Ovis aries: one gene and its partners. The protein of the gene in region 7 interacts with the protein of the main gene of each other region in a pairwise test. Links are inferred from orthologs where the notes say so. Each region holds a gene or a part of one and is shown on either strand. Other genes may lie near its edges. The genes, in order: PRC1, synaptojanin-2-binding protein, TXLNB, CNNM3, UBXN11, FAM110A and USHBP1.

Region 1 (3,500 bases), on a different chromosome or scaffold from region 7:
ATTTTCTTTCACAGAAAGAATGGAATCATATCATCTATTCCTCTTTTAACTAAGCTCAGAGTTAAAAAATTTTTTATGTCCTACAAATTGATAGGAATAGGAAATTTGTTTTTGATTAAAACATTGCAACACTTAGGTGTTTCACCTCTCAACAGGGAAACTTATTTATATAAGTGAAAAAATAGCTTTGCTGGAACCAAGTAACTAGGCAACATGTTCCACCCATTTCTCATGTCCAGTATCAGCCCTACAAGGAAACTTTCCACCTGGAGCTCCAAATCAAAGTTCTTCCCTCAATCTCAGACCCAAACAAGATCCCCTGACACCCTGCCACATACATGAAAAGGCTCGACATTTAACTCGCTGCACAGAGTGTTCAGCTCTTTCTGACAGACGGCTATGCTTTTGATGAGTCTTTCCTTCAGGCTTTCCTCTTCAGCAATCATCATATCCAGGAGGTCCTATGAGAGAGAAAACAGTCCTGTAAAAGTCCTGGGTTCTCCCCCATTAGCGTCAAACAACAACAAATAACACCAAAAACCTCACAGTTTCAAACTTTTAAGAAAGGACTTAAAAAAAAAACAGGACTTCCCTGGCGGTCCAGTGGTTAAGACTCCACACTCCTGGTGCAGAGGACCCAGGCTCAATCCTTGGTCTGGGAACTAGGATCCCCATGGTTTGGCCAAAACAAACATGCAAACAAAACTGGGAGGAGCCTGTGACATCCTAGAGTCACTTCTATATGCTATTTTAGATGAGACAACAACATCCTTACCCCTGTCCCACTGCAAAGAGGCCAGTGCTGCTAAACTCACCTTGATGTGCTTCTTTACAACCTCAGTTCTTTGTAACCGCTGGTCCTCTGGAATGCCAATCAATTCCCATATTTCCCGAAGGTGATTCAGGGCTTTCTGGAGACATACTATAGACTCCTCTGCCAGCACCTCACTAAAAAGCAAAAGAGAAGCCAGCTACATGAGCCACTGCCTCCAGTCTAAAAACTGTATTTACAGAAACTAAAACTAGTTTCTCAGTGGGCTCAAGGCTAAAAAAATTGGAAACAAGCATTCAACTTAGTTCATCTTTAACTACTCCCCTATCCTTCCCCCCACAAACACCACAACCCTGGCAAAGCAAAATCCAGTATCGTGTTACAGTGTAGAAATTCAATCTTACACTGTAAATTCAATCTTTTGAATAATACTCAGAATCTGGACTTCAATCAATGATTCTATCTATGGCAGTATATTACGGAAAAACAGACAAAAATGTCAGCTCCTATAAAACAGCTGGAAGTTTATTGCAAATTTGTTATTCATCTTTTTCCCTTCCAGTTTTATTAAGCTATAATTAATATATAGCACTGTATAAGTTTAAGGTATACAGCACAATGACTTGATTTACATACATCATGAAGTGTTATCACAATAAGTTTAGTAAACATCATTTCATATAGGTAAAATATTAAATTTTAAAATTATTTTTCTTATGACTGGAACTCAGTATTACTCTTTAACAACTTTCATAAATAACATACAGTGGTGCCAATTATATCGATCATGTTGTACATTACATCCCTATTACTTAATACTGATTTATCTGGACTTCTGTGGTGATTCGTTGGTTAAAACTCTGATTGCCAATACAGGGGACACAGGTTTGGTCCCTGCCACAGGCCATGGGCAACTGAGTCTGTGCACCACAACACCTGAGCCACGCACCCTAGAGCCCACGCTTTGCAACAGAGAAGCCACTGCAGTGAGAAGCCTGCGTGCTGCGACCAGAGAGTGGCCCCGCTCACAGCAACTAGAGGAAGCCCACGTAGCAGCAAAGACCCAACAAAGCCAAAAATACATTGATTAAATACAAATTTTTTAAAACCCTGACTTATAACCTTCTGACTGCCCTCATCCAATTCTTCCTTCCCCCTACCCCCAGACTCTGGTAAGCTAAAACTAATCTCTTTTTCTCTGAATTTGCTTGTTTCTGAAATATAATTGACCTATAACACTATGTTAATTCCTGCTAGAGAACACAGTGAATATTAGTGAACATATTTCTATACATTTCAAACTGATCACCAGAATAAGTCTAGCTACAATAGGTCACCATACAAGATATTACCTAGTTCTTGGCTACATTCTGCATACTATCCATTTCATACCTGTAACGTTTTTTTAATTTGGCTGCACTGAGTCTTTGTTGCTGTGGGATCTTCATTGTTGCCTGCAGGATCTTTTCGTTGTGGCATATGGGATCTCAGTTCCCTGACCAGAAATCAAACCCATATCCCCTGAATTGCAAGGCAGATTCTTAACCACTGGATGGCCAGGGAAGGCTCTGACAGTTCTATATTTAATTTTTTGAGGGATCACCAACTATTTTCCATACTGGCTACTCCAATTTACATCCCCACCAACAGTGCACAAGGGTTCCCTTTTCCCAGTATCCTCGCCAATTCATGTTATCTGTTATATTTAATAAAAGCCATTCTGACAGTTGTGAGGTGATTTATCTCATTGTGGTTCTGATCTGCATTTCCCTTTTGATTAGTGATGTTAAGCATCTTTTCACGTGCCCGTTGATCATCTGTATGTCTTCCTTGGAAAAATGTCTATTCAGATCCTCTACCCATTTTCAGTAAGGGTGTTTGTTTTCTTAATGTTGAGTTGTATACATTCTTTGTATATTTTGGATATTAACCCCTGATCAGTGTTGATGAGTATATAGAAAAGCCAGAACTTTTACACACTACTGGTTGGAGTGAATTAGTACACCATCTTGAGACTGTTGGCAGTATCTGTTAAAGTTAAGCTCTGGATGTGCTTTGCTACCAGTCAGCCAGGAGGCCTGGAACAAGTCACTGAAGTTGTTCTGTGCAAGAAATGAGGCTAGAGGCTCTCACTGGCCCCCTCTCTGTTACAGCATATTCAGGGGTTCTGAATCACCAGCCTACATCGCCACGAACATCAGTTTCTCCATAGTTTTAATATACTTATTTCTAAGACATTTTTCTAGCCAAGAAATTCCAATGTAAAGGTTTCCTGTCCTAGTTGCAGAAAAACTTTTGCACAGATACTAGTTGCCTATACCAGATGGCAATATCAATACACACATAATGAAGAGTGTTTAAAAGAATTTACTGGGACTTCCTTGGTGGTCCAGTGGTTAATCTGCCTGCCAACGCAGGGGACATGGGTTCGATTCCTGCTCTGGGAAGATTCCACATGCCTGGGGCAACTAAGCCGGGTGCGCACCACCACTGAGCCCATGCTCTAGAGCCTGTGCTCTGCAACAAAAGACACTGCAATGCGAAGTCCAGGCACCGTGTACAACGCAACTAGAGAAACAGCCACAAAGACCCAGCACAGCCAAAAATTAATTAATAAAAAAAATGAAAAGAAAACCTACAGAATGGGGAGAAAATATTTGCAAATGATGTGACAGACAAGGGCTTAATCTCCAAAATACACAAACAGCTCATACAACAATAAAAAAAA
Region 2 (2,903 bases), on a different chromosome or scaffold from region 7:
GAGAGGTCAAGGCTGATGTGGGGCCAAGACTAGGGGTGAGATGAGGTGGAAGACACGGGACAGCAGAGACCACACAGTAGGAAGAGGACGTACGAGATAGAAAAAGCAGGCGTGAGAGGAGCCCAGGGCAAAGGCAGCAGCGGTCAGTCCCTGGGCTGCCGTGGGTGCTGACAGTTTTCCGGGCTGTCCCAGTCTATGTGAAAACCTACAGGAGACCTCGCTCGTGAATCTGACTCTTGCAGTGCGAAGAAGCTAAGTGACACGGGACCCTACCCACAGCTTCTGCTTGTCACCTGTGAGGTGTCTTCCTCCTCCTTGGGGCCATGGCTTATTTTTTTTTTTTTTTTAAGATTCTTAATTAGTTGCTTTAGTTTTCGTTTTTTTAAATGACTCAGATTGCTATCCTCTTTTAAGCCTCACTCTATTACTCTTGCTACATACTGAATTCTTCTATTGAAGACTATCACTTAATCCTTATAGCAGAAACCTAGAAACCGGAGTTGCTTTCCACTTCTTTAATTCTCCATAAGGCATCACTATTATAATATCATACATGAATATGTACGTATATATATGTGTGTGTGCGTGTGTGTATATATATATATATGTTTGTTTTAAAAAGTAGAAATGTTCTTCTCAATCATCTTTGTTTGATACAAAGTAGGTGCCCAAGTAGGTATTAATAGTTAGAAATTAAATAAAAGGCCACAAAAACTTCCCAAGGAAGATCATTAAAGAGAAAAATCCTTTTTTCCTCTTATTACAGCTGGCCTTTGATGCATGCCAGGTAAGAAAAAAAGGAATACTGCAGGGTGATGGGAAGACTGGACCTTTCCCATTTTTTGGGTTGTAGCTGAACTTCTATTGGCGGTTCTAGTAAAATATATAACTCTTCGTTTGTTCTAGGCAAGTCCTTCTTTCGGGTTTCCTTCAGACACTGCCTTTACTCTCCCATGAGAAAATGAGGATTCAGAGATTTCAAATAGCAAGATTCTGGTTGGGTAGCAGTCTCTTGAAATCATGAGCTGGCTATGTAGAGGGAAAAGTTATGGAAGACTGGCAGGAGAGGGTGAGAGAAAAAGAGAAATGTATCTTCTTCTTTGGGAGCACAGGAAGAAAGCAAGTTTTTCAAAGTCGTTGCCGGTATCTCATGAAGGCCCAGGCTGCTACCATGGTGAGGGCAAACACTGGCACCAGCACCATAGTTATGGGAATACCACTTGGCTCCCCTTCGCCTTGAGGTCCTATGGGCCCATTCTGCACCTGTAACCTGTGCTGCACTCTCAGGGACACAGCATAGCCTGCATTACGGAAGGGGTCCACAGCATCCTGGTGCAGCAGGTTCTTTAGGTCTTGGCCGTTGACCGAGAGGATCTTATCACCCTCCTGGAGCCGCCCATCCAGGGCTGCAGCCCCGTTCTCTTTGATGCGGCTGACGAAGATGCCACTGTTGTCGGAGACATACTGCTGATCTGTCCCACCGACGATGTTGAAGCCCAGCCCTGACGGTCCTCTGGTGAGATTGATCTCTTCCTCGGTAATCAAGTAATCCACTCTTCCGTTCATATTTTAATCTCTGGCTTCCCGACCGGGGTCAGCGAGGATCGGTGCAGGTTGAAGGTGAGAAGCACTACCGGCAGCAGCCACAACACCGCACTTTCGGCCATGGCTTATTCATCTCTCTAACCAGAGCATCTGGCCCTGTGCAGGGAAACCTGTCGGTGCCTATTAATGTTTGAATAAATAGCTGCATTTATCACAACAGTCCTTGGCCCAGCCTTCGTCCAGAGGTTGTGGAATGAGCAGCAGTGCAGATTTTAGAGCCGGTACCCATATCAGCCATGTGCAAGGAGGTGAGCTGTGCCAATGAGATTCTTTCTGGGCGACTGAAGTCTAAAATGAGCAATGAAAAGGCATTACCAGGAGGAGCTGAGGTTTCAAGGGTGTGTGGGGAAATGGAAAAGCTGTGTGGACCCTCAATGTAAGGTTATGAAGGACCTTACAGGACGAGAAAGGAGACCCCAAAATGGTGAATGTGAAACGGTTCTGTGGCCTGTAAAACGAACACAGGTGTCCATGATCAATAAAGCTGACTGTAAGTCTCAGGCGTCGTTGCCAATCTACTTGTGTGACTATAAGAGGGAGAAGAACCTTTGTGTTCTTCTACAAGTTAATCACTAACGGGATGTTGCCTCTAAGCTTAAATTACCCATAATGGACCATCTCTGGGACACTTGTCACCCAGGTAATGAACACTAAGCTAAAATACCTTCGTTTAGCTCACGAGGAAGCATCTTCCTGACCAGGCCCATCTGTGAAAGACTGAAGGCAGGAGGAAATCCCTCCTGGAGTCTGGCCAGAACCAGGGCCTTACTCCCTCCTCTTTCAGTGTTAAAAGAAGCCTGGATTCTAACTCAAGGAAGATGGTTCATAAGGACACAAGTCTGCCATCTTCTCAGGCTGCCATTCCTTACCCCAACAACTTGTCACTTGATTTATTGACCTATTATATGGCAAAGCAGTATGAGCAGCCAGTCTTGCTGCTCATGGCCAGCCAGCTCTGGTTGGGGGATTTTGGGGGTAAGGCCCTAGCAGCTGCCCGGACCACTCGTCCTGAGGATCTTCCCCTTAAAATTCCCTGAAGCTTCTCTGGCTGTCCCAGCTCTTAGCGGGTGGAGCAAGGAATCAACATCTCATGCAGTAGGTAAGTCACTCCATGTAACAACTGGAGATCTTATTTCTTCTCCATTTAGGGCTTCTTTCCTTTAGAATAAGACAATTTGTATTTGAGTGGAGCGTGTGTGTGTGCTCAGTCGTGTCTGAGCGATGCCATGGACTGTAGAGCCCACTTTGTAGAGCCCACTATAGGCTCCTCTTGTCCATGGAATTTTTCAGGCAAGAAT
Region 3 (3,500 bases), on a different chromosome or scaffold from region 7:
CAATGGTTACATATTTAAATTAGCCTAAAAATATAGTTTAACTCATAATGTAGCTGAAATAGTACAATGTTTAGAGAATATATCGACAGTCTTCAGAGGAACAGCTTGAAAGTATCAGCAGCTTATATGCATGTAATTAGTGTGCACCCATGTGGGCACTCTGATCACAAACACTGGTCCTGATAAACACATTCAATTGAACTTTGGTAATTTATACAAAATGACAGAATTAATTGTGACATTTTTTTCTTTCTCTAAATTTTTTTGATTATTTGGTAAAGGAAAGTGTGAAGTCACTCAGTTGTGTCTGACTCTTTGCGACCCCATGGACTGTAGCCAGGCTTCTCAGTCCATGGGATTTTCCAGGCAAGAATACTGGAGTGGGTTGCCTTTTCCTTCTCCAGGAGATCTTCCCAATCCAGGGATTGAAACTGAGTCTTCCGCATTCTAGGCAGATGCTTTACCGTCTGAGCCACCAGGGAAGTAAGTATGTGGTTAATACGCTTCCCAGGTGCATCTGTGCAGTAAAGAATCAGGTAAAGAATCCTGCTAGTACAGGAGACCCAGGTTCAATGCCTGGGTCGGAAAGATCCCCTAGAGTAGGACACGGCAACCCGCTCCAGTATTCTTGCCTGGAAAATGCCATGGACAGAGGAGTCTGGCAGGGCTACAGTCCATGGGGTTGCAGAGTTGGACATGACTGAGCTACTGAACACAGCAGCACATGAGGTTAATACAGATTTTGAAATAACTCGTGGAAGACAGTCAAAAATTGGTCATCTTTAACTTTTCCCCTGCTTTCTTCATACCTATCCCCCATTATAACACATACAAATTCCTACGTAGAAGTAGTTTTAGGGTGATAAAGCCAAAGATCTTTCCTGGTTAGAAACACTTGAAATCATTCACCTTTGCAATGTGATTATGGTGGCTCAGAGGTTAAAGCGTCTGCCTGCAATGCAGGAGACCTGGATTCGATCCCTAGGTTGGGAAGATCCCCTGGAGAAGGAAATGGCAACCCACTCCAGTATTCTTGCCTGGAGTATCCCATGGACAGAGGAGCCTGGTGGGCTACAGTCCATGGGGTCACAAAGAGTTAGACACGACTGAGCGACTTAACTTTCAACAATGGAAAGTTTAACAATGACTAATGCAAAAGTTTATTTCTGAGATGCCTTGGATGGAGAACAGAAAATACCTCTATAACACAGAACAACTTTATTCTCTTTCCCAAAGTTCCAAAACACTAGAGTGATTCCAACCTTGCACTTTAGAACTTGGTATTATCTGAGTTAATCTTTATGCTGAGTAGGTAAAGTAGCTGTTTGTGTCTTTTAGCCCTTCTTGAAAGCATTACCAGCAGTGCTTTTAAGCCCCATAGTGAGGTCCTATGCCAGCACAGACATACTTTGGGGTTTGCACATAACCTATTCACTGAAGTCTGAACCCAGTTCTGACTCCAGTGCCCATGATCTTTCACTCCGCCACACCAGCTTCCAAAAATGAGCAAGATGTGACCACTATCTCAATAGATTCTCCCTCCAGCTTGGGATACAGGTATATAAACAGATGATTGCTGCAGAAAATTTAATGGAGAACTACAGAAGATGATGCTAACTCTACCTGGGCCTGTCAGGGAATGTATCACATAGGAGGTAGTGATTGTAGTGAGTATTTCAGTGAAATTTCACCAAGGAAGACAGGCAGAGGACACTCATATGGGTAGTAACATGCCCTCACTCATAGCTAAAAAAATTAACTCTCTCACCTTTCTTGTATAGACATTTAGGTGTTTCCAACCCCCCTACTCCATGCTCTCCTGACAATTTCCTGTGCCTGTTCTAGCACTTATCCTATATAGCAGTTAGTGTATGTGTCTACTTTCTCTCTAGACTTAACCAAAGTCCTTAACCAAAGATCTTTTTTTATCTTTGTGTACCTCATAAAGACTAGGCATTAGTAAATATTTGCTGAACCAGTGAACTAATGAAAGTGAAAGTATTTTCTGCAATTTTCAACATTCTATAATTAATATGGAGAAGGCAGTGGCAGCCCACTCCAGTGCTCTTGCCTGGAAAATCCCATGGGCGGAGGAGCCTGGTAGGCTGCAGTCCATGGGGTTGCAAAGAGTTGGACACGACTGAGCGACTTCACTTTCACTTTTCACTTCATGCATTGGAGAAGGCAATGGCAACCCACTCCAGCATTCTTGCCTGGAGAATCCCAGGGACGGGGGAGCCTGGTGGGCTGCCGTCTCTGGGGTCGCACAGAGTCAGACATGACTGAAGTGACTCAGCAGTAGCATAATCAATATATTTTTGAAGTTTTATTAAAATAAAAAATATTTTATATGTGTAGTAATGGAAATACTCAAGTGATCCAGTGACAATCATTTTATATACAAAACCATCCCTGTATTTAGACTTTGTTTAAATCTAGATTCTACTAGCTTTGCTTTGAACAATTTCCTTTTCATTCATTCACTCATTCATTCATCCTTATAACGGATATTCAGGAAATATTCATTGAGCACCTAGCACATGTCAACCACTGTTCTAGATGCTAGACATCCAATGATGTCCAAATACACACATTGCCCCTGCTCTTGAGATAGAAGACCTAGTGGGGACGAGATGTATTAATCAAATAACCACAAAAATAAATGTATACTCTCAAATGTAAATGTCAGGAAGAAAAGATATATAGTACAACTGAAATGGAAAACAAGACTTCAGGGTGAGACTAAGAAAATGCCATTTGAGTTGTGAGCTAAGTGATGAGTTAAGTTCTGAGAGGGCCGAACTGGGAAGTGGGGAGGGATTTCTAGGTAGAGAAAATAGAATGGACATGGGCCCTGTCGGGGAGTGGAGCATGGCCTGTTGAAAGAACTGAAAGAGAAGATGAGAATGACCAACTACTAGACGGTGGTGATGATAGTAATGGTGTAATCAGGGCAGCGTGTTCAGAAAAGAGGCTTTGGGGGGTAACTTGATGAGAGAAAGCTGGTTGGGGTTAGCTATTAAGGCCTGAAAGACAATGTTAAGAAGTCTGGTCTTTGTTCTATGAGCAGTGGGAAACCACAAGGGACAGAGAATAGATGGGTAACATACTGAAAAGTTCATTTTAGTTCTGTTGAGGGGGAGGGGGCTGGGGACAAGTATAGTAAGAGAAGATGTAGGGCGATCCCGAAGGAAGCTATTGTGCTAAAATCCAAGTTTGAGGTATGGCTTTTAGCAAAGGTTGGAAGTGCCCCATTTTAGGAATAATTCAAAGAAAAACCATACATTAGAATGTAACTACTTGCCTAATCCTTTTAGAATTTTCTTCTCCAGTTTTTGCTCTTTGTTGCTGACAGGCTCTTTGGCTGTGGATGGCTCTCCAGTGGCTGCGGGTTCTCTCTCCGCCTCTTCAGGGGCCTCCTCGCCGTCTCCATCCTCATTGTCAGGTGGGTCTGTGTTCTCAGGCTGCTCCTTGACCATGGTGGTACCCTCCTTCCCTGC
Region 4 (4,094 bases), on a different chromosome or scaffold from region 7:
AAACAGGGTGCTATGCTCTGCCTGCAGCCACCGCCCTGGTGGTCAAGCCTGGCCTCAAGCTGAAAGATGGCAGGGGCAGGATGGTACCCTCCCCTGCTGACTCCAGGGCCAGCCCGGCTGGCCACACAGCCACGAGAACCACCACTGCCTCAGAAATACCATATTACTCGGAGATGGAGCACTTGCTCCTAGGAGGCTCTGCCTGCCCGGATCCCGGGCTCCTCTCCTGCAGAGCAGGGCTGCATGGCTACATTCTGAGGAAACAAGCAGAAGCACCCAGAGATTCTCCAGGGCAGCAGCCAGAGCTGCCCATCAAAGTCTCCCACCCAATCCTGAGAAACAGTAGCAACAGTAACTGCCTAATTCTTTAAAACTAAGGAGATGGTGCAGGAGGGTGCCCACTAGTGGCTGGCATGCAGCAGTACTAATGGTCACTACGGCAGAGCTTTGCCTCCCTGCCCTGACAGTCCAGGGGCTCACAGGGAACCTCCTATGGGATCCTGGGACCTGGAGACTTCACAGCTATCAGGAAGTCATTATGAGGGGGCCTTGCTCACTTCTCGGCCTCAATTATGCAGTCTTTACGGTCAAGCTCATTCAGAGTCCAGAAGTGTCCTTACAGAAGTTCCGGTGTGAGAAGCATGACCAAGCTCTGGGGAGGACCTCAAGCCCAATCACCAAGAGGGAGACTGCCGGAGAACCCGAACCTTCACAATGGGAGGGTCTCAGTTTTCACCTGAACCCGGGTCAAAGGAGAGGACAAAAATGTGGAGTTAAGAGGACTTGAGCCCTTACTTGGGTTTTGTTTTATTGTTTTTAAAGGAAGGGGAGACTGACTGGCCTCCATCAAGTTGCTTCTGGTGAAATCAAAGTGGAAGTTTCTTTCACATTGCAGGAAGTAATGATCAATCATACCCTTTTCTGTAACCAGGAAGGCAACAGCCCATCACTGACCTTAACAAGGACGCCTTGGAAAAACATCACAGGTTCACCTAGTTTGGTATTACATATGTGCAAACAACAGCGTCCAGGTATCTAGACCGTATACTCTACGTTCTTTCAGTTTCTATCCAAGAGTCCGAACCTGCCACAAAGCCCAAGCCCACAAAAATGAGCCGGTAAAAAGCTGGAGAGTTAGAATCAAGCACACGTATCTCCCCAAACTGGGGGCCTGCCCGGAAAAGCTTTTTGTTGTCTATAGTATTGTCATTTTCGGAACCAAAGGCTTTAAATGATATTTTGCAAGTTCATTCAGAGCTAAAAAACCATCAACTTCATTAAAAGGGCGCTCAGAGGCCTCCCTGTCGTCCACCGGGTTGGGACCTTTCCCCAAGGCTTCCCTAAACCCCACTCTTTCTCTGGGGAGAGAGAGCTGACATTCGCGTCCCCTCCGCGATTCCCCAACAGTTACCTCGCTTGAACTCCTCCAGGACGGCGTCCAGCTTGGTGTCGTTGAAGACGAAGTGAAGTGGGTGATTGTAGAAGCGGGTGATGGTGCTGAGCGGCGTGCAGTCTTCGGGGTCCACGAAAGCTAAGTCCTTGAGATAGAGCATGTCCACGATGTTGGAGCGCTCGTCCTCGTAAACGGGGATGCGCGTGTGGCCGCTCTGCATGATGCTGGCCAGGACGCCGAAGTCCAGCACGGTGCTGGCATCTAGCATGAAGCAGTCCTCGAGGGGCGTGAGCACGTCCTCCACTGTCCGGCAGGGCAGCACGCCCTTGCTGAGATCGCTGTAGGGGTCGCCGCCGCCGCGCGCCAGCTCCAGCACGCGCTCGCGCAGCCTCCCTGGCCGCGCCGCCAGCTCCAGCAGCTGGCCCACCGGCAGCGCTACGGGCAGGGTGAGCAGCACCGCCAAGCGGCTGAGGATCAGCGCGCGCGGCGCCAGCGCCAACGTCCAGCGCCCGCTCACGGCGGCCGGCACCACCTCGCCCACCAGGAACACGAGCCCCGCGCTGCCTAGCACGGCAGGCACGGCGCGCTGGCCGGCCGCGCGGTACAGCAGAACGGCCAGCGCCGCCTGCGCCAGGCTGGCCAGCAGCAGCAGCGCGCCCAGGGCGCAGCCCGCCCAGCGCCGTGCGGGCTCCAGGCGCCGCGCCGCCGCACGCTCCGCCTCCGAGCCGCTCTCGCGCAGCACCTGCACCTCGGCGGGCGACAGCGCCAGTGCGCTCAGCTGTAGGCCCCGCGCCAGGGCCGCCAGCGCCAACAGCCCCGCCGCCCCCAGGCCCAGAGCCCAGGGCGGCGCCTCCTCCTCGGCCGCCGAGCCGCCCGGCTCCACACGCACAGCCAGCAGCGCCGAGTGCGGGCGCGCGGCCTCGGCGCGCAGGCGCAGCAGTGCGCGCCACTCGCCCGTGAGGGCTGCCGCCTCTTCGGCCGCCGAACCCCCCGGCTCCCCGCGCACCGCCAGCCGCACAGAGTGCGGGCGCGCGGCCTCGGCGCGCAGGCGCAGCAACGCACGCCACTCGCCCGTGGGAGCCGCCGCTTCGTCGGGCGCGACGGCCGGCCCGCCCTCGGGGCAACCCGCCCCCTCAGGAGCCACCCAGGACCAGGAGCTGTTGGAGAAGCCCGAGCCGAAGAGGCGCAAGCGGAAGGTGGCCTCCGGCGCGGCCCGCACCTCCCCTTCGTGCGCCCACCCCGCGCCCGCCGCTCCGTCCTCCTCTAGACAGACGCCCAGCACTCGCGGGCCCGGCGCCGCTTCTCCAGCGGCGTTGCCCAGGCAGAGCGCGGCGAGCAACCAGCCTAGCCGACCCGCCGCCGCCGCCGCCATCGCCTGCTGCCCCCTCTCGGCCTCCCGTGCAGCCTACCTCTCCGCCTCCGCCGGGCCAATCGTCGCCAGCCCTGGAGCCTCTTCAGCCAATAGGCGGCGGGCGGGGGCGGGCCCCAGGGTCGGACTAGGCTGCGCCGGGGAGTAAACAAGCGCGGCGCGATCCCGGGGCGGGCCGGGGGCGTGGGGCTCTGGGCCCTGTGGGCCTGGGCCGCGGCACCCGGAGGACGCTGGGCGGCCAGCTGGCCCGCTCTCCGCGGGGGTCTAGTTCCCTTCGGCCGTCCCCAGCGCAGGGAGGCCAGGCCCGTACTCTGGGAAGTCCCTGGCTCGGCACTTGGGCCGCCGAGAGCAGTGGAGCTCCTGAAATTGCAGATAGATAATTTAACGAAGGGAGACGGTCCGTTTCCTCAGAAACCGACGACCCAAACCTCGAAGAGGGCTAAAAGAACCGACGACCGGGCGTCGGAAGCTAAAGCTTATTGAGAGTATTCCTTGATCGCGCGCGACTCTGCTATGGGTCTGGGACGTGACACACACTCAGTCCCTCCTTAGATGAACTTGCACCCCTGCCAGAGAGAACGAAGGACGTAAATACACGAAATCACCGCCTCATTGGATCCTCGCAGCTACTTCGTTATTGATACACTTTACTAGAGAAAAGTGAACACTACTCGGGCACGGATGAGGGGTTCCAAAGCGACCAGCCTAATATCCTGTCGCCATCCCAGCAACACTAGGAGTTGGCATCTCTGTCAGAAATTACTGTATCTGGTCACTTCACTTCTAGGAGAGCATCCTTGGGAAAGTAATTCCTAACGACCAACAGGAACTATTCAAGAGGATCCTCCCAGGATTGTTGTTTTAGAAGACTGTATGGTCCTTGACAGTATGGAATGTTCCTCAACCTGTTATATGTGAACTTTACCTGGTTGGAAGGAAACACGCAAGCTAACAAGACTTCTCTATAAGTGTCCCGACAAAATGGTTTTTTTGTATTTTCTGCATTTTTATGTATTTTCAACTTTCCTAACATAAGTAGACTGATAAGAGCATCCATATACGTGTCATTTAAAATGGTCTTTGCAAGGGCTGTATAGAAACACATATGTTGTCATGAAAATACTATTAAAAAGCTTAGGCACTGTGGTCACAATTAAGTGAAATATACTTGTGTGGAAGGTAATGTGCAAAAATGAGTAAACCTGTGGTGAGTGACCAACAAAAGTATTGTGTGAAAAACTCCAGAATAAGCTGCCAGCAGAAGCAATTATGACCTTTGACCCTTTCCACCGGACTGGCATGCCTCTTTTGAAAAAATAATAATAGACTCAG
Region 5 (4,034 bases), on a different chromosome or scaffold from region 7:
AGACATGCAGATAAAGGGCTTTGGTAGTTGAGCCAAGGTATAAGGAAGTGGGTGCCGGAAATCATAAGACACCCAGATCATCACAGCTGGATGACTGTGAGATAATGATAACAAAAGTTAAAAGCAGGAAGTGTTTTGAAAACTTACTCTGTATGGGTATTGTGATAGTTATTCAGTACGTATTGTCTCATTTAATTCTCATGGCAGCTCTGTGGGGTGGGTTTGTGGTGTTTGTTCAGTCACTGTCATATCTGATTCTTTGGGACCCCATGGACTGCAGCACACCAGGCTTTCCTGTCCTTCACTGTCTCCTGGAGTTTGCTCAAACTCATGTCCAGTGAGTCAGTGATGCCATCCAACCATCTCATCCTCTGTTGCCCTCAATCTTTCCCAGCATCAGGGTCTTTTCCCACAAGTCTAGTTTTCACATCAGGTGGCCAAACTATTGGAACTTCACCGTGAGCTTTTCCAATGAATATTCAGAGTTGATTTCCTCTAGGATTGACTGGTTTGATGTTATTCCCATTTAACAAAAGAAATTAAGGTAACTTGCTCAAGGACACACACACAGCCTGGGACTCCTGGTGCCAAAGACCATGCTCTTAACAAAACTACCTCTAGTTGCTCTAATCCAACAGGTTGTTTTTCATGTGAGGCTCAGGAAGGGGAAGGGTCTCACCCAAAGTCACTCTAAGTATCTTACCCAATGGCAGCAGTCTTACTCGAATTTTTACATAAAGGAAATAGAATCAGAGCGTCTCTTCGGGGCGCCAAGAAATTAGCAGAGAAATGCAGATTTAAGAAACATTTATTAAGTACTTGTATCATTTCAATTCATGCTCAAAAGAACTTCCCTTTAGTACTGTAGTGATCAGATGGAAAAACAAGCTCACCAGGATACATGTAATTTCTCCCAAAATCAATTTAATAAAACAGTGGCATGGTCAGGACTGCACATTCAGGTCTAGAGGCTTCCAGCAGCTTCGTGAACCTAATCCCAGTTCTCCGCTTTCTGTGCCTTGGAGTAATAGGAAAGGACTCTCAAATTGCCCTAAACCCAGAGTCCGCTCAGAGCGGCCGGTTTTGGGATTTGCAGTCTTCCCCGCGATGAGTTTAGACTTCGTGGGCCAATAGAATTCGAGTAGAGACAGCTGTACCCGCCTCCGCTGCCTCCTGGTTGCTCAGGGACTCCTCACGGATTAGCCAATGAGAAGCACAAGGGTCCTGGTTGCCTGGGAAACCGTGTGACAACAAGATGGCGGCGCCGCGGGTGGTTCTGCGGCTTGCGTGGTGAGTTACAGAAAGGCCTCAGACCTTTCTCCTCGTGGAGTCCCTCTCACATAGGCTGGGGCCCTCACCGCGAGAGCCTCGAGGATATGCGAGCCCCACATCCCGGCCCCTCCAGTAGACTCTCCGCGCCTGGGAGCAGATTCAGGCCGCTGCCTACCACGGCTACGGGCGGAGGCGGGGGGTTGGCGACGCAGCTTCCAGGGAGGGTCTGGTGGTGGAAGTCGGTGGTGAGCGCTTCCAGCTGAGATTTAGGGAATGAAGGTGTGCAGCCTGCTGGCCCGTGTCGGCGCTGGCGAGCACTGGGACCTGTTGCAAGACCAATTTGACTCTCAAAGCTTGAGTCTGAAGAAGCAGGCAGTCTAACCTTTAGCCGCCTCTGGCTTGAGGAGGAAGACACAGTCTCCCGCCCCAAGAAAAAACGCAAAGTGAAGGGAATAGACGTGGCTTTGCCCCCAGGGTTCCCAATCTGAGGGAGGAGACACAGCCCTTCTTCGCTCAAGAAGTCCCCAGGCTGAAGGAAAGGAATAGCCTTTGTCCTCAGGGGTCTCCTATGATCACATGGGAAAATTGATCTGGAGACTGTTGGATTGGCCTGGAGTGAGATTGGAAGCAGGGAAGTCGGTTTGGGGCCATTGTAACAGCCCCAAAGAAGGGCAGTGAGAGTCCCACTAGGATGGCCAGCAGGGGGCCACGGGAGGAGGAGCTATGTGTGAGAAACGTGCAGGGTTTACCCTGCAGGATTCCGGAACTGCAGGGATTAGAGGAGAAAAAGGAGGGAAATTTTTTGTGTTTGGATAATGAGGTCCTCTTCAGAAAGGGGAAGCGGGAGGAGCTTATTTCGAGAGATATTTGGTTTGGTTTGGAGACCAGGTCCTTTTTTTTCCCCCTATAATAGCTTTATTGAGATACAATACACATACTAGATACTTCACCTCTTTAAAATGTAAACTTCAGTTGTTTTTAGTATATTCACAGAGTTGTGCAGTCGTAACTACAATCAAATTTGAGAACATTTTCACCAGCCCCAAGGAAACCCTGTACCTTTAGCATCTCCCTCTCCCCAGCTCTTCCTAACACCTCCAGCCTTAGGCAACCATTAATCTATCTTGTCTCTATAGATTTACCCATTCTGGACTGAATCCTAACAGTTGGTGGTTTTTTGTGACTGATTTCTTTACCTTAGCATGTTTTCAAGGTCCATTGACACTGTGGTGTGTATTGCATTTCTTTCTTTTTTTTTGCCAAATAATATTTCATTGTAAGTGAAGTCGCTCAGTCGTGTCCGACTATTTGCGACCCCGTGGACTGTAGCCCATCAAGCTCCTCTGTCCACGGGATTCTCCAGGCAAGAATACTGGAGTGGGGTGCCATTTCCTTCTCCAGGGGACATTCCGGACCCAGGGATCGAACCCAGGTCTCCCTCATTGCAGGCAGACGCTTTAACCTCTGAGCCACCAGAGAAGGAAGGATATACTATATTTGTTTATCCACTTATTGGTTGATGAACATTTGGGTTGTTTCCAGTTTTGGGCTATTTACAAGTAATGCTACTTATGAACAGATACACAGGTTTCTGTGGATGTGAGTTTTCATTTCTCTTGGGTGTACACCTAGGCATGGAATTGCTGGGCCCTAAGATAACTGTTGAACCTTTAGTTCAGTTCAGTTCAGTCGCTCAGTCGTGTCCGACTCTTTGTAACCCCATGAATTGCAGCATGCCAGGGCTCCTTGTCCATCGCCAACTCCTGGAGTTCACTCAAACTCAGGTCCATCGAGTCGGTGATGCCATCCAGCCATCTCATCCTCTGTCGTCCCCTTCTCCTCCTACCCCTAATGCCTCTCAGCATCAGAGCCTTTTCCAATGAGTCAACTCTTCCCATGAAGTGGCCAAAGTACTGGAGTTTCAGCTTTAGCGTTATTCCTTCCAAAGAACACCCTGGACTGATCTCCTTTAGAATGGACTGGTTGTCCAAGGGACTCTCAAGAGTCTTCTCCAACACCACAGTTCAAAAGCATCAATTCTTTGGCGCTCAGCTCTTTTCACACTCCAACTCTCACATCCATACATGACCACTGGAAAAACCATAGCCTTGACTAGACAGACCTTAGTTGGCAAAGTAATGTCTCTGCTTTTGAATATACTATCTAGGTTGGTCATAGCTTTTCTTCCAAGGAGCAAGTGTCTTTTAATTTCATGGCTGCAGTCACCATCTGCAGTGATTTTGGAGCCCCACAAAATAAAGTCTCTCACTGTTTCCATTGTTTTCCCATCTATTTGCCATGAAGTGATGGGACCAGTGATGGGACTCCGTCTAGTCAAGGCTATGGTTTTTCCTGTGGTCATGTATGGATGTGAGAGTTGGACTGTGAAGAAAGCTGAGTGCCAAAGAATTGATGCTTTTGAACTGTGTTGTTGGAGAAGACTCTTGAGAGTCCCTTGGACTGCAAGGAGATCCAACCAGTCCATTCTGAAGGAGATCAGCCCTGGGATTTCTCTGGAAGGAATGATGCTAAAGCTGAAGCTCCAGTACTATGGCCACCTCATGCGAAGAGTTGACTCATTGGAAAAGACTCTGATGGTGGGAGGGATTGGGGGCAGGAGGAGAAGGGGATGACAGAGGATGAGATGGCTGGATGGCATCACTGACTTGATGGACATGAGTCTGAGTGAACTCCGGGAGTTGGTGATGGACAGGGAGGCCTGGTGTGCTGCGATTCATGTGGCCGCAAAGAGTCGGACATGA
Region 6 (4,192 bases), on a different chromosome or scaffold from region 7:
TATGACATTGTGCACTTCCACCTCACCCCTCCCTTCCACCTGCTTCTCCTTTTCCTTAGCAGAAGTCCAGCCCAGACTTCGGTGGAGACAGAGAGGCCCTCTCCTGCCCCAGAGGGAGCCAGGAAGGCTCCAGGCAGCAGAAGACTCCAGGACAGCTGCCAGGGCCAGAGACACCCAGCTGGGCATCCTCCAGGCCCACGCCAGGCCCCACACTATTTCTGGAGTTTTCCCAGATGTTCGTGCCCTGGCCTGCCTGCAGTCAGCCTTGCCCAGGGCAACCTTGCACAAACCTCAGGAAGAGAAAGGTAAACAGGCCACAGAAGCGGTGTGGGTGCAGCTGCCTAAGGCAGCAATCTCCCGTTTGGCCCACCAACTGCACACCTCCACCAACTCAGTCCTCTGGGCCTCAGGTCTGCACCTGAGCTTGCCAAATGAGGACAAAGGGACTCGCAGTGCAGACTAAGAGAGATACTGCGCGCAAAGCCTTAGGGAAGGGCCTGGCACACAGGATGCGGAAGGTGGAGTTGGGACAGACCCACAACCAAGCCCACTTCCTGTCCCGGACTGCCCTCTGCCTGGGCCGAAGCGCACCATCATGGCTTCTTTTCTCGGCGCAGAGATGTCAAGAACCTTGTCCAAAGTCACAAGAAAGTTAATGACAGATCATAGACAGGGCAGTGGTCTCATGATTAGATAAACAATCTATAATACACACATATTTTTTCAACCAGGTGATACATGTGCATGGCTTAAGATTCATAAGCTGTAAAGGAAATTAAAAAAAGAAAAACACCTCCCTCCACTCCTATCCCCAGCCACCCAGTTCCCCTCCCTGCAAGAATCATTATGATCAGATGGTTATATGTCCTTCCAGGGAGATTTCAGGCACATACAAGCAACAATGGACATATATTCTATTTTTTTTACACATAGCAACATGTTCTGTGCATTGTTTTCATTTATTCTTTCATTGAATAATATATGTTCTTAATATGTTATTAGCATGTTATTAATTATAATGTTATTAACAAAATAATATATGTTGTACTACATAAAGAGCCCATCAGTCCCTACCAATGGCCACTGAGCGTGTGTCTAGTCTCTATTAAAAACCACACTGTGGGACTTCCCTGGTGGGCCAGTGGTTAAGAATCTGCCTGCCAATGCAGGGGACATGGCTTCTACCCCTGGTAGAAGATCCCACGTGCCATGGAGCAACTAGGCCACAACAAAAGAAGCCTCCAAGTTCTAGAGCCCATGATCCACAGCAAGAAAAGCCACCACAATGATAAGCCTGCAACTAGAGAAAGCCCAGGCAGCAACGAACACCCAGCCCAGCCAAAAATAAACAAATAAATAAAAGAGTTCTCAGGCAGAGCCTTAAAAAACCCAAAAACCCCACACTGTGGGCTCACTGCACCTATATCATTCTGCCCAGAAGTGGGACAGCTAGGTCAGGGGGTGCATGTGTAATTGTGACAGAGATGAGGGACTGTGATCCAGGGAGTTGATCTCCCACCAGCAGAACACACAAAAATGATCAATAAATGTTAGCATTAGTCATTTTGATTCCTAGGGCTTTGGGCACCCCTCAGTTTCACACTGGAGGCGATTACCTCATTTACCTCACCCTAACCCTTCCCTGCAACACATTCCAGTCCGGGAAGATAATAAACTCGCTAATAAGTGAAATTATAGGACATTGGATGGGGTAAATGCTACTGAGAAAAACAAAATAGACAAGGCAGAGCATATGAAGTGAGTAAATATTTGTTGAAAGAATGAAGACTTGTTTTCTTTCTGAATTTCCAGAGCTCTGCTCCCTTTAAAGCCAGGAGACTGGTTTGGAGGAGAGAGGATAAATAATTCCCCTTGAAGAGATTCTAGACTCCCAGATGCTACAATTCTGAGTGTCTAGGATTCTAAGATGGAAGCCAGACAGATTGGGAACCAGCCCCAGAGTTGCCAAGTCTGACCATGTGGTTTTGGGCAAAGGGGCTTAACTTTTTAGAACCTCAGTTTGCCCACCTACGAAAGGAAACCCATAGCAACCAGCAGGTGGGGAGGGGGTTCCCCAGGAGGTAAGGCCTGGTGTAGGTCAGATGCTCTACCAGGAGCGGTCCTGGGCCCAGGACCAAGTCCAGTGTCTCTGGTGACTAGCGTCTTTGGCTGAGGGCTGTGCCTACCCTTTTGCCCAACCCGCAGTAGATTCCCAAGAGTCCTACAGCAATTCCAGGGCCAAAGCATCTGCTCCCCACCTGGCACCTAGCTCAGAAATGTCAGTCCTGCCTGAGCCACCCGTATCTTCTCTCTGAGAGGGAGAGCTCTGTAATTCAGAGCCCTGCAAGCTGAAGGATCTCAAGTGAGCCCCAAGTCCACCCCTGGCTTTCTGGAGAAATGAAGACAGATGGTGGGGAGAAGACCCCAGGCCGACGCTGGGGAGAGGCAGCCTGGAGCGGATGCAGCCAGGGCTCTCATGCTCCTGTTGATCAGAGGCTAAGAAAGCGACCACCAGTTACCTGTCAGGGTCTCTCAAGGCAAATCTAGAACTATTATGCTAGAGACTGCGAGATGGAGCAGAAAGATCTGAATCAGATTCTCTGCCAGACTTCGTCTTTCTGAGCCTCAGCGTTCTCATCTGTGAAATGGGGTACCCTCGTAGGACTCGGAGAGAACACGCACCGCAGGGGTGAATACAGCGCCCCCTTACACCCGGGTTCGCGCCCCGGACCACCCGTGCCCTCACAAGGAGCCTCGCCTAGGCGAGTCCCGCTCCTCCAGTGTGGGTCTTGAGGAGGCTGACAGCTCGGACCCAGTCAGGCGGGGAATGGCCGCACCCAACACGGCTCGGGAGGCCCAAGCCCCACGTGAGGACCCGCGGGGGCCTCTTCGGAGCTGTGCTCCGCACCCGAGATAAGCCGGAGAACCTGACTGTCCCAAGGTCCCAGACAGAGCGAAGGTCTGGGGGCACAGAGGGGAAGCGAAAACCCCGGGGCACCGGGGGAAGGGGAAATGAGCGCGTCGCTTCACCCCCCTCCCCGACACCAGAATGGTTTGCCCCGGACATCCTGATTGGTTTCTCGCTTCCGTTCGAACTCCGCGCCGCCCGCATTGCCAGGCAACGGCTTAGCTTCGGCCTGGCGTGGGAGCGCCCTGCCTTCTCAGTCCCTCCCCGCCCTTCAGCTTCCCGGTGGTCTCAGGTTCTTTGAGCAGCCCCTTTAGCTCAAGCGGCTAATTCTTTCTCTTGTTCACCCGGGACTTAGCTGATGGACGGAGGACCCTGGTGGGCCCAAGGGGTCGCTAAGAGTCGGACACGACTGAGCGACTTCACTTTCACTTTTCACTTTCATGCATTGGAGAAGGAAATGGCAACCCACTCCAGCGTTCTTGCCTGGAGAATCCCAGGGACGGGGGAGCCTGATGGGCCGCCGTCTCTGGGGTCGCACAGAGTCGGACACGACTGAAGCGACTTAGCAGCAGCAGCAGCAGTCCTGACTTCAGCTGACAGGCTATGTGAACCAGTGCAAGCCAGTTTTCCTGTCTGTTCCTCTAACTGCTCAATGCTGAGCAAGTTAGTGTGAAGATGGGCATGCCCAGCAGTCCCGAAATTTACTAAGGATGTGAGCGAAGATTAATATGCCCTGCGTTCTTTATCATGGCAAAATAATGAAAATAACTTAAGTGCTCAGTGAAAGGAAATTGGTTATATAAATCCATCCTGCGGAAGAACTGAATTTATTGAGGTTTTTATATATACCAGAAGCTTTGCATGACAAAACTCTCATCACTGCTCATGGCATAACCCTCTGATAAGTACCTTTAAATATCCTCACTTTTTGCTGAGGAATATTATACAGTCATTAAAAATGATATGATTAAAATATATTTAGCACTAAGAAAGATTGAATTTTTCAAAAGTATGTTTCAAAGCACTATGTACAACACAAATATGCATTAAATACATAATGGTAATATCACATGTACTATATTTACGTAATGGACTTCCCAGGTGGCCCTAGTGGTAAAAAAATCTGCCTGCCAATGCAGGAGACACAGGTTTGATCCCTGGGTCAGGAAGGTCTCCTGGAGAAGGAGAAAGAATACTCTAGTATTCTTGCCTGGAAAATTCCATGGGCAGAGGAGCCTGGAGGGCTATAGTTCATGGTACTGCAAAGAGTCAGACAGGACTGAG
Region 7 (3,268 bases):
TCCACGCTGCTGCCTTCGGGACTACAGGAGACAGGAGAGGCCTGTGTGAACTCTGCTCAGCGTGGCTACACTAACTTCATGCAATCCTGGTGCGCTTTGTCATCTTCCATCTTACTGACCGTGATGGTTCCTTCCAAGGCCATCTGTGGTAGGCACGGTCAAACTAACATGGTGGGCACCATAACGTAAACCCAAACGGGCAACATCAGCCCGCCAATGATCATTCATCAGTGATGAATGAACACCACCACGCCAATGGGCACAGTCACTCACACCATCACAGGGAAGCCATCACACCAACTCAATGAGCACCATTGCTCAACCTGCCAACCCTGTTATGCAGCATCATGACAACCCCTATGGGTACCAGCATCATGCCAACCCCATTAAGCACCATCATACCACCTGATCAGTGGGCACCACCAGCCATCCTCATGCCACCCTGGTGGGTCCTATCCCACCCCCAATGGCTGTAACCACCATGTCAACTTTGCTGAGTAGAAAACAGCCAACTCCGGCAGGCCTAATGCCAACCTCAGGAGCCACGCCAGCCCCCAATATAGGGCCAGTTCTGGGAGCCCCATTCTGCAACCAGAGCCCCACTCACTGGCCCACCCAGTCCCCAGGGCTCCCAAGGGCACCTTGGACATGGATCCTGCAGTGTCACTCCATCCATGGCAGCCTTCTCTTGCACTAGGAGCCTCTGAGCTTCCTTCTCAGCTGCCTCCAAGTCATCCACGAAGGCTCCTTTTCCAGCTCCTGAGTCTGCCTCCCGGAGAGCGAGTAAGGCTCCATACGCCTCCTCACAGTGTTCACTGTGGGACAGCAGTTCTGAGCACCCCAGCATACCCATCCTGTTGCGTAGGTGACACTCCCACTTGCCCCTGGATCTGTCACTCCTCCTCCTAACCCCAACCCTGGGAGTTTGTAAATTCCTTTAGCACCCTGGGACGAAAACTGCCCTAAGTTAATTTCCACGGCAAGGGCAAATACTTTTCTGAGAGGGCTCCGTCTCTCTCTGGGAAGTAGGACTATCCTTTGAGGATATCCATTTCCTTCCCAGGCAGTAGAAAGCATGTGAATCGTGGCTGGGGTGCACTGACCTATACTGCAAGGCTAGACGCAGCGCAGTGGCCTCGGCCTCCCGCTGGCCCAGCCGCATGCTGAGGCTCTCACACCGGCCCTTGTACTCCTGGAGCACAGCTGACAGCAAGCGGTTGAAGCATTTGAGTTTCTCAATGTTCCTGCCTCCGGAGGTGGGGGAAGAGGGAAAAGTGAGTGACTTTGAAGGGCAGTTAGGACACCATTGATTTCCCCACCCCATCCCCACCTTCCCCACCCCACCCCCACTCCAGCTCCAGACTCCTGGCTTTATATCCCAGCTGGGCGGCACCAGTGCCCTTATGAGCCCAGCATTTGTGACTCTTACCCTCGGAGTCGCTCCATCTGGGCTTCCATGATGTGCATCTCAGGAGCAAGGGGCTGGGTTGGGAGAGACCCAAGCATCTGGGTGCTGGAATCACTCTGCAGGCGCCGGAGCAGGGGGTGAGCCCGGGAGAAGGGATCCTGTCGAAAAGAGGTGACTTGATTCACCCAGAATTTTCACTGAGAGCCCAGCATTAGGATTTAGGCCTTTTCCAATCCCCGAAACTATTGGATCACATGACCAGGATTTGAGTCTCATGGCCCCAGACACTAAGGATCTGAAACAGACCGTGGTTTTTAGTTTCACATACTCACCTGTGAGCCCCAGGTCTCTCCATCAGCCCCAGAGCTGCTGGAACCACTACCTGAGCCACCTGCTTGGTCACAGGAAGGAGGTGGAAAGGGCTCCAGCCTCAGCAGGGAATCCTGCAGCTCCTGGACCTGTGGGGAAATGGGGAATGTAAGGCTGGGGTGGCTCCAACCACCTGCCATTCTTCCCTAAGACCTGTTCTTGGAGCAGTGGCAAGAGCACTGGCTGGAAGGTAGGACCCCCCAGATTCTCATCCTGCCAAATAGCTTCTTGTACAACCTTGGGCAAGTCATTCAGCCATGACTTGTTGGTCAGCCATTCAGTCATGCAGTCCCTGAATCAAGACTTCTCTTTCCAGATGTCCAACAGGTTCATGAAAAGATGCTCATCATCACTAATCTTTGCATGCGTGCCTGCTCAGTCACTTCAGTCGTGTCTGACTCTTTGCAACCCTACAGACTGTAGCCTGCCAGGCTCCTCTGGCATGAGAGTCCATGGGATTCTCCAGGCAAAAAAAAAAAAAAAACAGAAAAAATACTGGAGTGGGTTGCCATGCTCTCTTCCAGGGGATCTTCCCGACCCAGAGATCGAGCCCATGTCTCCTGTGGCTCCTGCACTGCAGGCGGATTCTTGACTGCTGAGCCACTGGGGGAACCTCACTAATCCTTAGGAAAATGCAGTCAAAACCACAATGAGATACCACCTCACATCGGTTAGAATGGCAAGCATCAAAAAGCCAAGAAAGGGACTTCGCTGGCAGCCTAGTGCTTAGGACTCCGCCCTTCCACTGCAGGAGGCAGGGGTGCGATCACTGGTCAGGGGAACTAAGATCTTGCATGCCTTGCTGAATGGCGAGGCCAAAAGAAACAAAGAATGCAAAAGATAAGTGTAGGCGAAGATGTTGAGGAAAGGGAACCTTCGCGCACCGTTGTTGAGAATGCAAATGGGTACAATCATTACGGAAAAAAGTATGGCAGTTCCTCAAAGAAGTCAAAATAGAACGACTATATGATACAGCAATTCCATTTCTGGGTATTTCTCTGAAGGAAACCAAAATGCTGACTTGAAAAGACATCGGCACCCGCACGTTCACTGCAGCACTATTTACAAGAGCCAAACCACAGAAGCAACCTAAGTGTCCACGGATGGATGAATGGATAAGATGTGGTAAGTATATTTATAGAATGAAAAATTATTCATCTGTAAAAAAAGGAATCTTGCCATTTGGGACAATATAGAAGGACCTCAGGGCCAGGAGCCGCAGGAGGTGTGGGTTCAATCCCTGGGTTGGGAAGATCCCTTGGAGGAGGAAATGGCAACCCACTCCAGTATTCTTGCTTGGAGAATCCCATGGACAGAGGAACCTAATGGGCTACAGTCCATGGGGTCACAAAGAGTTGGACACAACTGAAATGACTTAGCACGCACACAGAAGGACCTTAAAGGCACTATGCTAAGTGAAATAAGTCAGCCAGATAAAGACAAATAGTACATGATCTCACTTATATGTGGAGTCTAAAATAAAACCAGGGA

What was found.
Region 1: the proteins of USHBP1 (region 7) and PRC1 interact in a two-hybrid assay, tested with the Homo sapiens proteins (2 studies listed by BioGRID and IntAct). The link is inferred for Ovis aries from reciprocal best matches to the Homo sapiens genes USHBP1 and PRC1.
Region 2: the proteins of USHBP1 (region 7) and synaptojanin-2-binding protein interact in binary tests that used the Homo sapiens proteins (3 or more experiments, as listed by UniProt). The two-hybrid records come from large-scale screens. The link is inferred for Ovis aries from reciprocal best matches to the Homo sapiens genes USHBP1 and SYNJ2BP.
Region 3: the proteins of USHBP1 (region 7) and TXLNB interact in binary tests that used the Homo sapiens proteins (3 or more experiments, as listed by UniProt). The two-hybrid records come from large-scale screens. The link is inferred for Ovis aries from reciprocal best matches to the Homo sapiens genes USHBP1 and TXLNB.
Region 4: the proteins of USHBP1 (region 7) and CNNM3 interact in binary tests that used the Homo sapiens proteins (3 or more experiments, as listed by UniProt). The two-hybrid records come from large-scale screens. The link is inferred for Ovis aries from reciprocal best matches to the Homo sapiens genes USHBP1 and CNNM3.
Region 5: the proteins of USHBP1 (region 7) and UBXN11 interact in binary tests that used the Homo sapiens proteins (3 or more experiments, as listed by UniProt). The two-hybrid records come from large-scale screens. The link is inferred for Ovis aries from reciprocal best matches to the Homo sapiens genes USHBP1 and UBXN11.
Region 6: the proteins of USHBP1 (region 7) and FAM110A interact in binary tests that used the Homo sapiens proteins (3 or more experiments, as listed by UniProt). The two-hybrid records come from large-scale screens. The link is inferred for Ovis aries from reciprocal best matches to the Homo sapiens genes USHBP1 and FAM110A.

The regions. Positions count from the first base shown.
Region 1 is NC_056071.1:20,993,648-20,997,147, reverse strand, and holds part of PRC1 (protein regulator of cytokinesis 1), read right to left. Parts: intron 949-3,500; coding exon 816-948; intron 462-815; coding exon 339-461; intron 1-338. UniProt on the Homo sapiens protein: Key regulator of cytokinesis that cross-links antiparrallel microtubules at an average distance of 35 nM. Essential for controlling the spatiotemporal formation of the midzone and successful cytokinesis.
Region 2 is NC_056064.1:26,357,139-26,360,041, forward strand, and holds synaptojanin-2-binding protein, read right to left. Parts: upstream 1,662-2,903; 5' UTR 1,567-1,661; coding exon 1,129-1,566; 3' UTR 501-1,128; downstream 1-500. UniProt on the Homo sapiens protein: Regulates endocytosis of activin type 2 receptor kinases through the Ral/RALBP1-dependent pathway and may be involved in suppression of activin-induced signal transduction.
Region 3 is NC_056061.1:64,243,629-64,247,128, forward strand, and holds part of TXLNB (beta-taxilin), read right to left. Parts: coding exon 3,305-3,500; intron 1-3,304. UniProt on the Homo sapiens protein: Promotes motor nerve regeneration. May be involved in intracellular vesicle traffic.
Region 4 is NC_056056.1:103,718,564-103,722,657, forward strand, and holds the start of CNNM3 (metal transporter CNNM3), read right to left. Parts: upstream 2,801-4,094; 5' UTR 2,766-2,800; coding exon 1,412-2,765; intron 1-1,411. UniProt on the Homo sapiens protein: Probable metal transporter.
Region 5 is NC_056055.1:240,540,999-240,545,032, forward strand, and holds the start of UBXN11 (UBX domain-containing protein 11), read left to right. Parts: upstream 1-1,234; 5' UTR 1,235-1,290; intron 1,291-4,034. UniProt on the Homo sapiens protein: May be involved in the reorganization of actin cytoskeleton mediated by RND1, RND2 and RND3. Promotes RHOA activation mediated by GNA12 and GNA13.
Region 6 is NC_056066.1:59,933,525-59,937,716, forward strand, and holds the start of FAM110A (protein FAM110A), read right to left. Parts: upstream 2,801-4,192; 5' UTR 1-2,800.
Region 7 is NC_056058.1:5,623,409-5,626,676, reverse strand, and holds part of USHBP1 (harmonin-binding protein USHBP1), read right to left. Parts: intron 1,867-3,268; coding exon 1,741-1,866; intron 1,567-1,740; coding exon 1,430-1,566; intron 1,245-1,429; coding exon 1,104-1,244; intron 816-1,103; coding exon 642-815; intron 22-641; coding exon 1-21.